Macaca mulatta: one gene and its partner. The protein of the gene in region 1 binds, or shares a complex with, the protein of each later gene. Links are inferred from orthologs where the notes say so. Each region holds a gene or a part of one and is shown in the gene's direction. Other genes may lie near its edges.

Evidence for each region. Proteins that work in one complex are often made in the same cells at the same time.
Region 2: VPS72 (region 1) and MORF4L2 share a complex: the UniProt entries of both Homo sapiens proteins name them as parts of the nuA4 histone acetyltransferase complex. The link is inferred for Macaca mulatta from reciprocal best matches to the Homo sapiens genes VPS72 and MORF4L2.

What each region holds. Positions count from the first base shown.
Region 1 is NC_133406.1:115,896,066-115,904,474, forward strand, and holds the start of VPS72 (vacuolar protein sorting-associated protein 72 homolog), read left to right. Parts: upstream 1-3,237; 5' UTR 3,238-3,273; coding exon 3,274-3,390; intron 3,391-4,726; exon of another isoform or gene 4,727-5,066; intron 5,067-6,769; exon of another isoform or gene 6,770-7,180; intron 7,181-7,719; coding exon 7,720-7,872; intron 7,873-8,049; coding exon 8,050-8,164; intron 8,165-8,409. UniProt on the Homo sapiens protein: Deposition-and-exchange histone chaperone specific for H2AZ1, specifically chaperones H2AZ1 and deposits it into nucleosomes.
Region 2 is NC_133426.1:110,306,493-110,314,188, reverse strand, and holds the end of MORF4L2 (mortality factor 4-like protein 2), read left to right. Parts: intron 1-2,309; exon of another isoform or gene 2,310-2,462; intron 2,463-3,931; 5' UTR 3,932-3,955; coding exon 3,956-4,822; 3' UTR 4,823-5,481; downstream 5,482-7,696. UniProt on the Homo sapiens protein: Component of the NuA4 histone acetyltransferase complex which is involved in transcriptional activation of select genes principally by acetylation of nucleosomal histone H4 and H2A.

The sequences.
Region 1 (8,409 bases):
AGAGACAAGGTTTCACCATGTCAGTCACGCTTGTCTTGAACTACCCACCTGGAATAATTTGCCCACCTTAGCCTCCCAAAGTGCTGAGATTACAGGCGTGAGCCCTAGTGCCTGGCCTCACAAATGTATCATTTATTTGTTTCCAACACAAACATTTAATATCCTTCTTCTAGCTGTTTGACACTATATATTATTGTTAATTATAGTCATCCCCCAGTGGTATGGAACACTAGAATTTTTTTTTTTTTTTTTTTTTTGAGATGGAGTCTCACTCTTGTTGCCCAGGCTGGAGTGCAATGGCGCGATCTTGGCTCACTGCAACCTCTGCCTCTGGGGTTCAAGTGATTCTCCTGCCTTTGCCTCCTGAGTAGATGGGCTTACAGGCACCCACCAACACGCCTGGCTAAGTTTTGTATTTTTAGTAGAGATGGGGTTTTGCCATGTTGGCCAGGCTAGTCTCAAACTCCTAATCTCAGGTGATCTGCCCACTTCAGCCTCCCAAAGTGTTGGGATTACAGGCATGAGCCACCGCACCCGGCCAAGAACACTAGAAATTATTCCTCCTGTCTAAATGTAATTTGGAGCTAAGCGAGGTGGCTCAGGCCTGTAATTCCAGCACATTGACAGGCTGAGGAGTGGGGATCACTTGAGTCCAGGTGACCACTGTGGGCAACATAAAGAAATCTCATCTTCACAAAAAGTACAAAAAATTAGCCGGGTGTGGTGATGTGAGCCTGTAGTTCCAGTTACCTGGGAGGCTGAGGTGGGATGATCGCTTGAACCCAGGAGGTCGAGACCACAGTGAGCAGTGATTGCATCACTGCACTCCAGACTGGGCGACAGAGTGAGATCCTATCTCAAACAAACAAATGAACAAATGAACAAACAAATGTAATTTGGGGCCGGTGTGGTGGCTCACGGCTTTAATCAGCTCACTTTGTAAACCTCTCACTTTGGGAGGCCAAGGTGGGAGGACAGCTTGAGCCCAGGAGGTCAAGGAGCCAGCGAGCCATGATCCTGCTGCTACACTCCAGCCTGGGCAACAGAGACCCCGTCTCAAAAAAAAATGGTAATTTTGTGTCTTTTTTTTTTTTTTTCTTTTCAGATGGCGTCTTGCTCTGTTGCCAGGCTGGGGCGTAGTGGCACGATCTCAGCTCACTGCAACCTCTGCCTCCCGGGTTCAAGCGATTCTCCTGCCTCAGCTTCCCGAGTAGCTGGGACTGCAGGTGTGTGCCACCACACCCAGTTAATTTTTGTATTTGTAGTAGAGACGGGGTTTCACCATGTTGGCCAGGATGGTCATAATCTCTTGACCCCGTGATCTGCCTGCCTCAGCCTCCCGAAGTGCTGGAATTACTAGGCGTGAGCCACTGTGCCCGGCCCAATTTTGTCTTTTTTTTTTTTTTTTGAGACGGAGTCTCCCTCTGTTTCCCAGGCTGGAGTGCAAATGGCGTGCGATCTTGGCTCACTGCAACCTCCGACTCCCGAGATCAAGCAATTCTCTGCCTCAGCCTCCCGAGTAGCTGGGATTACAGGTGCCCACCACTATGACCAGCTAATTTTTGTATTTTTAGTGGAGATGGGGTTTCACCATCTTGGCCAGGCTGGTCGTGAACTCCTGACCTCATGATCCACACCCTCGGCTTCCCAAAGTGCTGGGATTACAGGTGTGAGCCACAATTTTGTGTCTTTTAACAAATCTGGCCGGGCGCGGTGGCTCAAGCCTGTAATCCCAGCACTTTGGGAGGCCGAGAGGGGCGGATCACGAGGTCAGAAGATCGAGACCATCCTGGCTAACACGGTGAAACCCGTCTCTACTAAAAAATACAAAAAACTAGCGGGGCGAGGTGGCGGGCGCCTGTAGTCCCAGCTACTCGGGAGGCTGAGGCAGGAGAACGGCGTAAACCTAGGCGGCGGAGCTTGCAGTGAGCTGAGATCCGGCCATTGCACTCCAGCCTGGGCGACAGAGCGAGACTCCGTCTCAAAAAAACAACAACAACAACAAAAAAAACAAATCTTTCCCTGTCCCTTCCTTCCCCCTGCACTTCCCAGCCCCCAGTATCATCTGTTCTATTTTTTATTTCTATGAAATCAATTTTTTTAAAGCGTCCACATATGAGTGAGAACACGCAGTGTTTAAATTTCTGTTCGTGGCTTAAGTCAGTTAACGTGTCCTCCAATTCCGTCCATGTTGCTGCAAATGACAGGATTTTGTTCCTTTTAATGGCTAAATAGTATTCATTTGTGTATATACACCTCATTTCCTTTATTCATCTGTTGTTGGACACCTAGATTGATTTCCTATTTTGGTTACTATAAGCAGTGCTGCATTAAATATGGGGGTGCATAAATATGGAGTGCGGACGTCTCTTGGAAATACTGATTTCCTTTTTTTTTTTTTTTTTCCTAAATCAGCTTCCTTATGTTGAATTATGTCCTTTCCTTCGGATAAATGTCTATGGCTGTGTTTTTAACCACAATATTATGCTTTCTTTCTCAAGGATTTTGGACTTTATCTTGTAGATGATGTGGAGCCATTAAAAAATGTTGAGGAGAGGACTGGCAAAATCTGGGTTTTTAGAAAATTTGAAAGTTTCCTACTGGCAGCAGTGTGGAAAACGGACTGGACCGGGGAGAATGACCTCTTCTAAAAGAAAATGTGAGCCTGGCGCGGTGGCTCACGCCTGTAATCCCAGCACTTTGGGAGGCCGAAGCGCGCGGATCACCTGAGGTTAGGAGTTTGAGACCAGCCTGGCCAACATGGTGAAAGCCGTTTCTATTAAAAATACAAAAATTAGCTGGGCATGGTGGCGGGCGCCTGTAATCCCAGCTACTCGGGGAGAATTGCTTCAGCCCGGGAGAGGGAGGTTGCAGTGAGCCGAGATCGTGCCACTGCACTCCAGTCTGGCGACAGAGCGACCCTACGAAAAAAATACATATATGTGTGTGTGTGTGTATATATATATATTAAAAACAAAAATAAATAAAAGAAAATGTGTTGACTTAGGTTTATGCGGGTCGTCGTGCCACCAAGTGGACTCATTGAGCACTAGGGCAAGCGGCCTAGAGGTTCCGCGCAGGAGTAGGAGAGGCTGAAGAGTAAAGAGGGTTTAGAAGGTGGGAGTAGGAGTCTCTCGACACTCTGTTACTTCTGCCTGTAAACGCCCGACTTCCGCCGCTGGTGTCCACCCGCAGGTAGCGGTGTCGAGCGTCGAGCTCCCAGAAGCGAGCTGGTGAGGGGCTGCAGGTGGCGGAGCAGTCTCCTTAGGCGGTATGAGTTTGGCTGGGGGCCGGGCACCCCGGAAGACCGCTGGGAACCGGCTTTCCGGGCTTCTGGAGGCAGAGGAGGAAGATGAGTTCTACCAGACGACTTATGGAGGTTTCACAGAGGCAAGATCCGAGCCTGGGAAAAGGGAGGGGAGGAAGCGAAGAGGAGCCCTGGAGGGAGGATCTCCGGACAAAGAAGAAGAAGGCGGGGAATAGAGCGGAGCTCTGGGAGCTGATACCCTAGATGGGTGCGGTGAATCGGAGCCGGGGGGCGGGGCGGGGCGGGGGGACGGATAGTGTGGAGTCCTACAAGGGAGACCTCTGGATGGGGTCAAAGGGGCATGAGACGGAGAAGCTTTGCGGAGGCACTCCAGAGAACGGCAGAAACCTACCGCATACTTGCGTAGTTCCATCTCTCACTGTACTTCTGACCTCCAGCATACGTCAGGCACACAGATAGTAGTAGTCAGTCGCTGGATGTATACTTGTTGGCCCACTGCCGGATTATTCACCTGAGACATGGAAAGGAACTGCTCCAAAGGTAGAGATTAGCCCACTCCTTTTTCAGCTTTCAAGTCTCAATGTATATGTTTTCTCAGGAAGATAATCCTTCCTTGACTATCCTAACAAGTGTCCCCATTTATTTCTCCCACAGAACATATTTCAGTTTGTAATTAGATTCGGTTTGCTTACTTGCTTATGTTTTCCTATTGCATTGTAAACTGTATAAAGTTAGGGATGGTCTGTTTTGTTCAACATTATGTGTGAGGTGTCCGGACTGGGCTGCCACTTGCTAAATTTTTTTAGTTGAATCTACCCGTTTCTTAAATGTGTTGAATACCCAGTGCATGCCATCGGTGATAGGTTGTATTGGGCTCTAGGGAAACCGAGAATATTAAAAACAGTGCTCTGTCCTTACATACTCCATGCCCCAGTGGGGTAACTGGTTGGGTTAACAGTTAAAATACTGTGTGATAGGAAGGGCACAGTGGCTCACGCATGTAATCCCAGCACTTTGGAAGGCCAAGGCAGGTAGATCACAAGGTCAGGAGATCAAGACCATCCTGGCCAACATGGTAAAACCCCAGTCTCTACTAAAAATACAAAAATTAGCCAGGCGTGGTGGCGTGCGCCTATAGTCCCAGCTACTCAGGAGGCTGAGGCAGAGAATCGCTTGAACCTGGGAGGAGGAGGTTGCAGTGAGCCGAAATCATACCACTGCACTCCAGCCTGGGCGACAGAGCAGGACTCTGTCTCAAAAACAAACAAAATGTGTGATAAGGACTAAAACAAGGTGTAAGATATAAGATAGAGTGTTAAGGTAATACATCTGAACCAAAGCTGTTGATCAGGATAGGCATCCCTGGAGGGATGATGTTTAAGCTGAGGACAGTTTGAAAAGTAGACCTTAGCTTGATGAAAAGTGGGAGAAGGAGAAAGGTAGTCCACAGAGCAGATCGGGGAGAGTATGTAAAGACGTTGAGATCCTGGTCTAGGACCTGCAAGTCTACTTTCATTCTCCAGAGCATGAAGGAGACTAAAGATTGATAAGCCTGGAGGGAGTAGGCATGGGCCAGATCATTAGGGCCTTGTGAGCCATGTTAAGGAGTTTTGCTGTTCATCCAGAGGACTGAGAAGAGTCATCCGAGTTCCACGATAAAATTTGTACTTTAGAAAGATTACTTACTCTGTAATGAGAATGGCTTGAAGGCGGCATGGCAGTAGAGAAACAGAAAGATTGAAGATAAATTAAGGAATAGAACCCACAGGATTTAGGGGCTGAGTGTGGTGGCTCACGCCTGTAATCCCAGCACTTTGGGAGGCTGAGGCGGGTGGATCACAAGGTCAGGAGTTCGAGACCAGCCTGACCAACATGGTGCAACCCTGTCCCTACTAAACATACAAAAAATTAGCTGGGCGTGGTGGCACGCGCCTGTAATCCCAGCTACTAGCTTGAACCTGGGAGGCGGAGGTTTCAGTGGATCACTCCACTGCACTCCAGCCTGGGCGACAGTGAGACTCCGTTTAAAAACAAAAACAAAAACAAAAAACCCCACATCACTGAGTCATTACTGACACAGCCCTGACCAACTAGTTTAAAATAGAACTTTCTCATCCCTCCTCTAAGGCCATTTTCCTATTTCTGTCATTTTACGACTCGTTATTTAATATGTACCCTTCATGCTTCCAACAAGGATTTAAGGAGGCTTACAATATAAACAAAAAGTAGAAACGGTAAAAATAGAGACAGATCAGAAGTAATTGTACCAGGAACCTCTGCTAAAATGGTAATAGCAATTGATATTAAATTTAGCTGTGAGCTTCCTGGTAGCCAAACCTTGTATTTCTTTTTTTAGTAAGAAAGAAGCATACAAGTTGTTCAAGAGAGACAAACTTATTCAGTCTTAAATCCTAGGGAGCATTTATCATTATATCCTTATATTATAAAAAGTAACGGTTTTCGTAGATGATATACAAACATTCTCTTATCTAGTGATGTGTATTAATGACTCAATAAAAGGCAAAGGAATGGTAGTAATTTAGTGCAAGTATTTTGATTGGGCACTAAGCTAATGTGTGGTTGATCTACTACCCTCCGGTGATATGGCTTAATACCAGATTAAGGCTGAGGGGATTAATGTGTTCCCAGGCTGTCTTTTACAGGCATCAATTGGGAGGAAATGATGGTCATCAGTGCAAAATTGAACTCTGGCTGGTTTGGAGGGTCAACCATCTGTGTTATTTGCTTGCTTTGGCATCATGTGTACCAAGATTAGCCCTTTAGTCTGCATCACTGATTGAAGAGAGAGCCACATGTGTGAGGTGTCACCCAGCCCAGTTGACTCCCTCTCCCTCAACTGACTTTTTTCCCTTTTCTTTCTAATATGGCTGCCATTCTAGCCCTAAACAGTATCACCTCAGGTCTAGGCTGTACTTCACATTCTCTACTCAGGCCATCTAACTGCCTCCAGAGCTCTCTGAAATACCCCTTGTACATACTGTTACCCCTCCCCTATATCTTCGGTGGCTCTCCGTTATCCATAGTAGCAGTACTCAGCTGTTTTTCTGTCCCAACACATCTGAGGAATGACACATATTTCTCTCAGTAACTTTAGTTTACATAAACAATGATTATCAATGGTCGGACAAATAAGGAGATGGAGGGGATTGAGAATTATTGGCCTGCAGGTTAAAATTGTGTTTATTAGTGTGACATTTAAGTTTCTCCATAAATGGAATGCAGGAATGCAAACTTCTTTTCTTTTTTTTTTTTTTGAGACGGAGTCTCGCTCTGCTGCCCAGGCTGGAGTGCAGTGGCGCGATATCAGCTCACTGCAAGCTCCACCTCCCGGGTTCACGCCATTCTCCTGCCTCAGCCTCCTGAGTAGCTGGGACTACAGGCATCTGCCACCACGCTTGGCTATTTTTTTCTATTTTTAGTAGAGATGGGGTTTCACCGTGTTAGCCAGGATGGTCTCGATCTCCTGACCTCATGATCCACCCGCCTCGGCCTCCCAAAGTGCAGGGATTACAGGCATGAGCCACTGCGCCCAGCCGCAACCTTCTTTTCAAATCATATAGTCCTACAGTGCAATCAGTGTTGGAAGGAGGCAGTGCTGGAGCGAAACACAGTTGGCTAACAAGGTTTCTTGATAGAGAAAAGTTTTACTTAGATCTAAATCTTTATTCCATAAACATGCTGTACACATTACCATTTCTGCGCCTTTGTTTCTGCTATTTCATCGCCCATGATTCCTTCTTCCCTCTTGACTGTCTAAATACTAACAGTGTTTTCAACCATAGTTTAACTCCTCTTCATGCCTTTTTTTTTTTTTTGAGATAGTGTCTCGCCCTGTCGCCCAGGCTGGAGTGCAGTGGCACTATCTCAGCTCACTGCAACCTATGCCTCCTGGGTTCAGGTGATTCTCCTGCCTCAGCCTCCCAAGTAGCTGGGACTACAGGTGTGCATCACCATGCCCAGCTAATTTTTGTATTTTTAGTAGAGCCAGGGTTTCACCATGTTGGCCAGGCTGATCTCGAACTCTTGGCCTCAAGTGATCTGCCCACCTCAGCCACCCAAAATGCTGGGATTACAGGCATGAGCCACCGTGCCTGGCCAAGACCCACATCTCAAAAAAAAAAAAAAAAAGTAAGATTATGTTATCCCCTTTACTGTAAGCCCCTGAAAGTAGAGACCAAACCATATCCTTTTGTTTCCCAGTACTTAACACAGTGTGTTGCAGGTAAAGCGCTATCAATTAATGTTGGAAGGAGGTGGTACTGGAGCCAAAGGCCATTAGCTAGAAAGTTTTCTTGCTTGAAGAAAATGAAGGACTGGATTAGGAAGGAGAGTAGGGCAACCCTTATCAAGAAAGTTGAGAGATTCTGTTCTTCCTGAAGGGTCATTAAGGCTTCCATTGCCAGCCAACCCTCATCTCCCTGTGTCCTTAGGAATCCGGAGATGATGAGTATCAAGGGGACCAGTCAGATACAGAGGACGAAGTGGACTCTGACTTTGATATTGATGAAGGGGATGAACCATCCAGCGATGGAGAAGCAGAAGAGCCAAGAAGGAAGCGCCGAGTAGTCACCAAGGCCTATAAGGTACAGGAGGAGTCCTAGTTTTCTTGGATTTCCTCAATTCCTATTCCCTCTTTCATCAGGTCCCAGTACTCCCTTTGCCACTTCCATTTCTGGCAATGCTAGTTTTCTCTCATTGAGATCCTCATATTTCTCCTTACTTCTTCTGTTCCCTGGTATCTGATTCCAATCTGTCCTCAGGAGCCTCTCAAGAGCTTAAGGCCTCGAAAGGTCAACACCCCGGCTGGTAGCTCTCAAAAGGCCCGAGAAGAGAAGGCACTACTGCCACTAGAACTACAAGATGACGGCTCTGACAGTGAGTAGGGATGTTTGGGTCAATTGGGAAAATTGGAATATGATGATACAATATCATATCAGTGTTAAATTTACTGATGTTGCTGGGTGCAGTGGCTCACGCCTATAATCCCATCACTTTGGGAGGCCAAGGCGGGCGGATCACCTGAGGTCAGGAGTTCGAGACCAGCCTGGCCAAGATGGTGAAATTCCATCTCTACTAAAAATACAAAAATTAGGCAGGTGTGGTGGTGGGCCCCTGTAATC
Region 2 (7,696 bases), on another chromosome or scaffold:
TACACAGTCTGGTTGGCACTAGGTCACGTTGCTTTCTTTAGGTGATATTTTCACTATCATCCTTTTGTTTTATGGAACCTCTGCACTATGAGCCCCAAGATGGGCTTTCTGGATTTACTCATGCAGGTTGAGTATCCCTAATCTGAAATGCTCCAAAATCTGAAACTTTCTGAGTGCCAACATGCCACTAGTAGATGATTCCACATCTGACCTCATGTGACAGGTGAAAAAGAATGTTTAAAATACTATATAAAATTACCTTCAGACTATGTGTATAAGGTGTATATGAAACAAATGAATTTCCTGTTTACACTGGGGTCCCATCCCTAAGATATTCTCGTGCATATGCAAATATTCCAATATCTGAAACACTTCTCATCCCAAGCATTTTGGATAAGGAATACTCAACCTGTAGTAACAATTCTCAGAAGTCTTCAGATACTGTATCTGCTCTGTCCTGGTCACAAAGCAATTCTTTTAGAAACATTATTCTAGAAGCATGATAGCTTACAATTTAATGCCATGATACACTGGCCACTATCACCACTGTCTGATCCTTCACAGGATGTGTCTCCGTGTCCCTCTCAGCCAGAAAGTTTCTGATTCCCACAGGGATCAGTCTCCATATTTACAAATTTTGATGCTTTCTGAAGACTGACTTTACCCTTGAATTTCTGCTCAAAGCTTTGTGCTCTTTCAGTTAGAGGATATTGTTTGCTTAGTGAAAGTACTAGCATCCAGGCCTCTCTTCCCAATAACTGGCTTTCCTGATTCAGGGATCTAGTCTTCAAGCATGCGTGCATATTTATTTATTTATTTGACAGAGTCTCACTGTCACCCAGGCTGGAGTACAGTGGCACAATCTCCTGGCTCACTGCAACCTCCACCTTACAGGTTCAAGCGATTCTCCTGCCTCAGCCTCCCAAGTAGCTGGGATTATAGGTGTGCACCACTATGGCTGGCTAATTTTTATATTTTTAGTAGGGACGGGGTTTCACCATGTTGGCCAGGCTGGTCTTGAACTTCTGACCTCAAGAGATCCACCCACCTCAGCCACCCAAAATGCTGGGATTACAGGCTTGAGCCACCGTGCCCGGCCTTCTTTTCTTTTCGCCCACAGGTGCTACTACCAAACATTTCTTATCTCTGATTTTCTTCTCAGAGCCTCCCTGATGCCTGCCTACACAGTGTTAACGGCTACAGAATGGCTGATGGGCTTTTTCTTTAGGTGAAAGTTGTAGTTACTAGAGAAACCTGGTTTAAGGCTGGTCTACCATCATCCCTTTCTCAGAAGTTACCCTGATTTTAACAGGCTGGTATTTATCTGTCTAGATATTTCCATGCACATTTATAGACATCTGTTTAAAACACACACACAAATGAGAGCACACTCTTCCCAAAAACTATTTCACACTAATGTTTATTTCTGTACCTGTACTATCTTTTTTTTCTTTTTTTGGAGATGGAGTCTCTGTCGCCCAGACTAGAGTGCAGTGGTGCGATCTCAGCTCGCTGCAACCTCCGCCTCTCGGGTTCAAGCAATTCTCCTGCCTCAGTCTCCTAAGTAGCTGAGACTATAGGCGTGCGCCACCATGCCCGGCTACTTTTTTTGTTTTTTGTATTTTTAGTAGAGACGGGGTTTCACTACATTGCCCAGGCTGGTCTCAAACTTCTGACCTCATGATCTGCTTGCCTCGGCCTCCCAAAGTGCTGGGATCACAGGTGTGAGCCACCGCGCCCGGCCTTATCTGTCTCTTTACGATCGTATTGCATTTGGGATCCTATAGTATTACGCCATCTGCCTGTTTACCTAATATATATTGAACATCTTTCCATGTCAGTACATGGATCTCTGCTTAATTCATTTGAATGTTCTTCTGTAGTAGTCATACATAATTTATGTTATCATTTTCCTATTGAAGAATAGGTAGGTGTTTTCCAGTTCTTCAGTACTGCAAACACCACTACATTGAACATCTTTGTATCCATGTACAAATACTCTGGCAAGGTACTGTGCTAGCTGTTCAGCCTCATCACCTTTATGAAATTCTCACAGGAGCCTGTGAAGGCTATGGGTAATTTGCCACATTCCACAGATGAGAAAAAGAGGCTAAGAGAGCTTACATGTCTTGCCTGAGGTCTCACAACTCATCAGTGATGGAGCCTAACTGAAGTAAAGGTCTGTCTGACAGCAGAACTCAAGTATTTTCTCTCATACCACGATTTACAATTGCAGTATATGATTGATATATGTGTTTAAACATATAAACCACATGTTTATAAATTACTCATTTTTTTCTTTTCCTTAGATGATTTCACAAAAGTTCATCTTCATTGCAGATACCTGCCTTTCTTTCTAGGTTGTATCTCCCACTTCACCCTTCTAGACCATCCCAGAAGATCTATAAGATTTCATCTGGGAAATCACTAGGAGTTCTTGGAAGGGAAAGAAGGAAGATTGTGTAAGTCAAAGGAATTGTTTCCTCTGTCACACCGTAAGAATAATGGAAGACTATTTTTGCATCCTTTTCTCACTAGCACTCCCTGCTGCACTTTACACTGTAGATTATACCTGTTTCTTCTTGGAACGCTCATCTTCTTTGGCATCCAAAATGACATTCTTCTAATTCTGTTATGGCTACTCTTAAAATTTTTGTTTCATTTGTGGTCTCTATGCATCCCTTAAATGCCTTTCGTCCTTACGTTTTCCAGAATTCCATACTTGAAGTTCTTCCTCTCTTCTCCCTGATTTCATTGGCCCTCGTAGTGTCTACTACCAGCTATGTGATGTTTACTCTCAGATCTCCATTTCTGGCTTTTACTTCGCACCCGAGCTTTAATTTTGTGTGTGTGTGTGTGTGTGTGTGTGTGTGTGTGTGTGTGTGTGTGTTGGGGGAGGTACCCAGTTAGCTGGACGAAACTGAGCTTTATAATTTTATGTTTAACTGTACACCTCACACGCAATAGGCCCAACACAACTTTTCCTTCAATCCATTTTCTCCTCCTGTAAATGGAGTATTATCATTTGGTGATAATACTAATGACCTAATCACCCATACCTGGGAGTCATCACTGACTCCTCCCTCACCAATCTTTTTTTTAGCTTCTTCAACAATCACTGACGGTGGTGTCATGTACCATTTCTTGTATCTGCTCCCAAGCCATTTTGTGCCTATAACTATCATTATACTAACCTTATTGTTTTATAATTGTCACTTTAGATATTTGGATCTCTAGCACCTACCATAGTACCTGTCCCAAAGCAGATATGCAGTAATGTATAATGACAAACTGAATAGATTAATGAATGGATGAATTACCTATGTTCTGTCATTTTATTTCTGATTCCAAACTAAACCCTAAATTCAGCGCTTTTATTAAATTCTTTAATTACCCAGGTTTGAAATTGCAGATTCCTCCCTCCTTTGTTTACTATATTCTTAATGATTTCTGTATTCTTCAGTTTCTCTTGCCTCTGTCATCATCCTAGTTCAGACCTTTCTGGACTTACACAAGAACCTTTACTGTTATTCATTTTGCCCTTAGTCAACTAAGTATAACCTTCCCTATTCCATATTGTCATTTCTCCTGTTCAGAAGTCTTAAATTTCAACTCCACTGCCTTTTATAGTTTCTTTTTCATTTAATTCCTTCTTTCTTTAAAATTGCTTTCCTATCTTGTGAGTGGCATCAACAGAGTAATTTGTGGGTAGATGTGATGAGTATTTGGGTGAGATGAGAGTAGTGGCTGGTAGTGAGGATCAGAGAGAGGGAAAGGAGGTAAAAAAAAAAAATCACTTATAAAGAGTCCTGAAATGGGATTTGAAATCCAGATTTTAAGGGAGTTAGAATGTGTTATGCTCTGATGGGCCTTTATGAAACATAAAGGTTGCCATAGAAAACAACCAAGTAAAATATTTTATATATTACAGTGGTTGGAATAAAAACAGGGTTGAATGAGTTCCAGAAAGCAGGGTTCTCAACCTCGTGGACAGCAATCTGCAGAAGAAGAGAACTTCAAAAAACCAACTAGAAGCAACATGCAGAGAAGTAAGATGAGAGGGGCCTCCTCGGGAAAGAAGACAGCTGGTCCACAGCAGAAAAATCTTGAACCAGCTCTCCCAGGAAGATGGGGGGGTCGCTCTGCAGAGAATCCCCCTTCAGGATCCGTGAGGAAGACCAGAAAGAACAAACAGAAGACTCCTGGAAACGGAGATGGTGGCAGTACCAGCGAAGCACCTCAGCCCCCTCGGAAGAAAAGGGCCCGGGCAGACCCCACTGTTGAAAGTGAGGAGGCGTTTAAGAATAGAATGGAGGTTAAAGTGAAGATTCCTGAAGAATTAAAACCATGGCTTGTTGAGGACTGGGACTTAGTTACCAGGCAGAAGCAGCTGTTTCAACTCCCTGCTAAGAAAAATGTAGATGCAATTCTGGAGGAGTATGCAAATTGCAAGAAGTCGCAGGGAAATGTTGATAATAAGGAATATGCAGTTAATGAAGTTGTGGCAGGAATAAAAGAATATTTCAATGTGATGTTGGGCACTCAGCTGCTCTACAAATTTGAGAGGCCCCAGTATGCTGAAATCCTCTTGGCTCACCCTGATGCTCCAATGTCTCAGGTTTATGGAGCACCACACCTACTGAGATTATTTGTAAGAATTGGAGCAATGTTGGCCTATACGCCCCTTGATGAGAAAAGCCTTGCATTATTGTTGGGCTATTTGCATGATTTCCTAAAATATCTGGCAAAGAATTCTGCATCTCTCTTTACTGCCAGTGATTACAAAGTGGCTTCTGCTGAGTACCACCGCAAAGCCCTGTGAGCGTCTACAGACAGCTCACCATTTTTGTCCTGTATCTGTAAACACTTTTTGTTCTTAGTCTTTTTCTTGTAAAATTGATGTTCTTTAAAATCGTTAATGTATAACAGGGCTTATGTTTCAGTTTGTTTTCTGTTCTGTTTTAAACAGAAAATAAAAGGAGTGTAAGCTCCTTTTCTCATTTCAAAGTTGCTACCAGTGTATGCAGTAATTAGAACAAAGAAGAAACAGTAGAACATTTTATTGCCTAGTTGACAACATTGCTTGAATGCTGGTGGTTCCTATCCCTTTGACACTACACAATTTTCTAATATGTGTTAATGCTACGTGACAAAACGCCCTGATTCCTAGTGCCAAAGGTTCAACTTAATGTATATACCTGAAAACCCATGCATTTGTGCTCTTTTTTTTTTTTTATGGTGCTTGAAGTAAAACAGCCCATCCTCTGCAAGTCCATCTATGTTGTTCTTAAGCATTCTATCTTTGCTCAAATTGTTGAAGGATGGTGATTTGTTTCATGGTTTTTGTATTTGAGTCTAATGCACGTTCTAACATGATAGAGGCAATGCATTATTGTGTAGCCACGGTTTTCTGGAAAAGTTGATATTTTAGGAATTGTATTTCAGATCTTAAATAAAATTTGTTTCTAAATTTCAAAGCAAGTAATTTGCAGTGTGCCTTTCATGTTACTGAGGCTGGTATTCTGTGGTTATTGTAGAAATTTTAGAAAACATAGTAACAAATGCAAATAAGAATTGTGTAATTCTGCTGGATCATTCAAGATCCAAGCAATAAATAAATGGAACTCAAAAATGGATGATTTGACGAGAGTTAAAGAATTTTTTCCCTGAGTTGTCACCAGAGGGGTAGGGTTGTGGTGTATATTAGCTGGCTCAGGCTGCCATAACAAAGTACCAGAGACTGAGTGGCTTAAACAATAAATTTATTTTCTCACAGTTCTGGATGTTGGAAGTCAGATCAAGGTGTTGCCAGAGGATTTTTTTTGAGGCCTCTCTCTTTGGCTTCTACACAGCTGTCCTCCCTGTCATCACATGGCCTTTTTCTCTGTATCTGTGTCCTAATCTCTTCTAAGGACACTAGTCACTGGATTAGGACCCACCCCAATGACCTCATTTAATTTAGCTATCTCTGTAAAGACCCTATTTCCAACTACAGTCACATGCTGAGGTATTGGGGATTAGGACTTCAACATGAATTTGGTGGGTGTGGGGAGGGGTGGGTGCACAATTCAGGGCATAACACAGTGTTACTACCCCTCTGCAAAGGAGACGAGAGGAAAGGAAGTGGGGAGGAGCAGAGGGAGTGGGAGGTAAGGGAGGGGTTACTGGAATGGTATACAGCTGTGTGGAAAGGTCCATCTGACAGTAGCTGTAATCTTCAGGATGCAGTCAGCTCACAGCAACCCTGAAAGAGAAAATGAAATGAGAGGGAATAAATGCTTGACTTCGCGCTCTTCCGAACATCTGCTAGGTATTTCTCTTGGCCAAATTGGAAGCTGGAGGGCAAGGAAGACCTTTTGTATAGTCTGTGTTGGTAAGTGTGGGGGACACAGAGCAGGAAGGAAAGTAGATGGTGGGGAGGGGGCCGGAGGAGGGTGGTTGTGGGTGGTGAGTGGGAGGAGGACAAACGGGAGATACAAGCACACACCTGAAATAGTTAATACTTTACCATATATTCTTGGAATTATGTGTATACATAAATATTTGTAATAAAGATCACACAACTTTTTTTTTTTTTAACAAATTTGGATCAGATTATATGTATGGTTTTCTAAGTATTTTTCTCCCCAAATTGATATACAAAGGAAATTCAAGGCTAATAAAACTAGTTTATTTTTAAATGACCTAAAACATGAAAATGGAAAAATTCTGAGATTGGAAATTAAGGAGAAGTTGCCACATAGAAAAATTTGTTATAAAATGGTACCCTAAAAGTGTATTTTGGACACCAAAACAAATCAGGGTAACAGAATGGAAATATCTGTATCTGTGTATATGTGTTTAATTTGTTAGATATGTTAGAGGGAATATTTGAATTAGTGAAAGGATGGGATAGTCAAAATATTTGAGGGGAATGTTAGATCTTTTGCTTTACACTTTATTCCAAAGTACATTCCAAATGAATTAAAGATTTACATTTGATAAGTGAAACCATAGATTGTTTGTTTAAAATGAAGGATATTTTATCATGGCTCAGATGACCTTTCTAAATATTATTGACAGGATACCTACAGGAAAAGGTGGATAGATTTTCATACATAAATACTTTAAATAACTTTATTATAAAACAACATGAGAGGAATTATTAGGCATGCAACACAGAACAGAATAATCACAACACATAAATACAAATTGTTAATATCTTTAAAATTTAAAGGATTTTTTTACAAGTTATAAGAGACAAGGGAGATAGGCCATAGATGCACATAAGCTAATTTTGAAAAGAAATGCAAATTGCAAGTAAACAGGTTCATTTTCCCGAGACATAAATACTTAAAATAATGAAGTATTTTCTACCACTGTTGTCATCCCCCTTGCAATAGGTGCTAGTAAGTTATTGAACATACTTTTAGGTGTCTAGTCAATATATTGTCAGAGTAGTAGAAACCAGGCTAGGTTGTAGGCTGGCTACATTGTGACCATCACACCATCAAGTGATGACTAGACCCATCAGGTGTCAATTATTCTTCCCCAAATTCTGGACTGTTTTGGTTATGGTGTAGACAGAGAGGGGGAGTGGCAGGAGAAAGGATCAATGTAAAGAAGAAAGGAGGTTTGATAATTATATGCAGCCCATTGATTACTGAACCTAATTATCACATTTCTCTAACACTGGTACACAGCACATAGAAGTTGC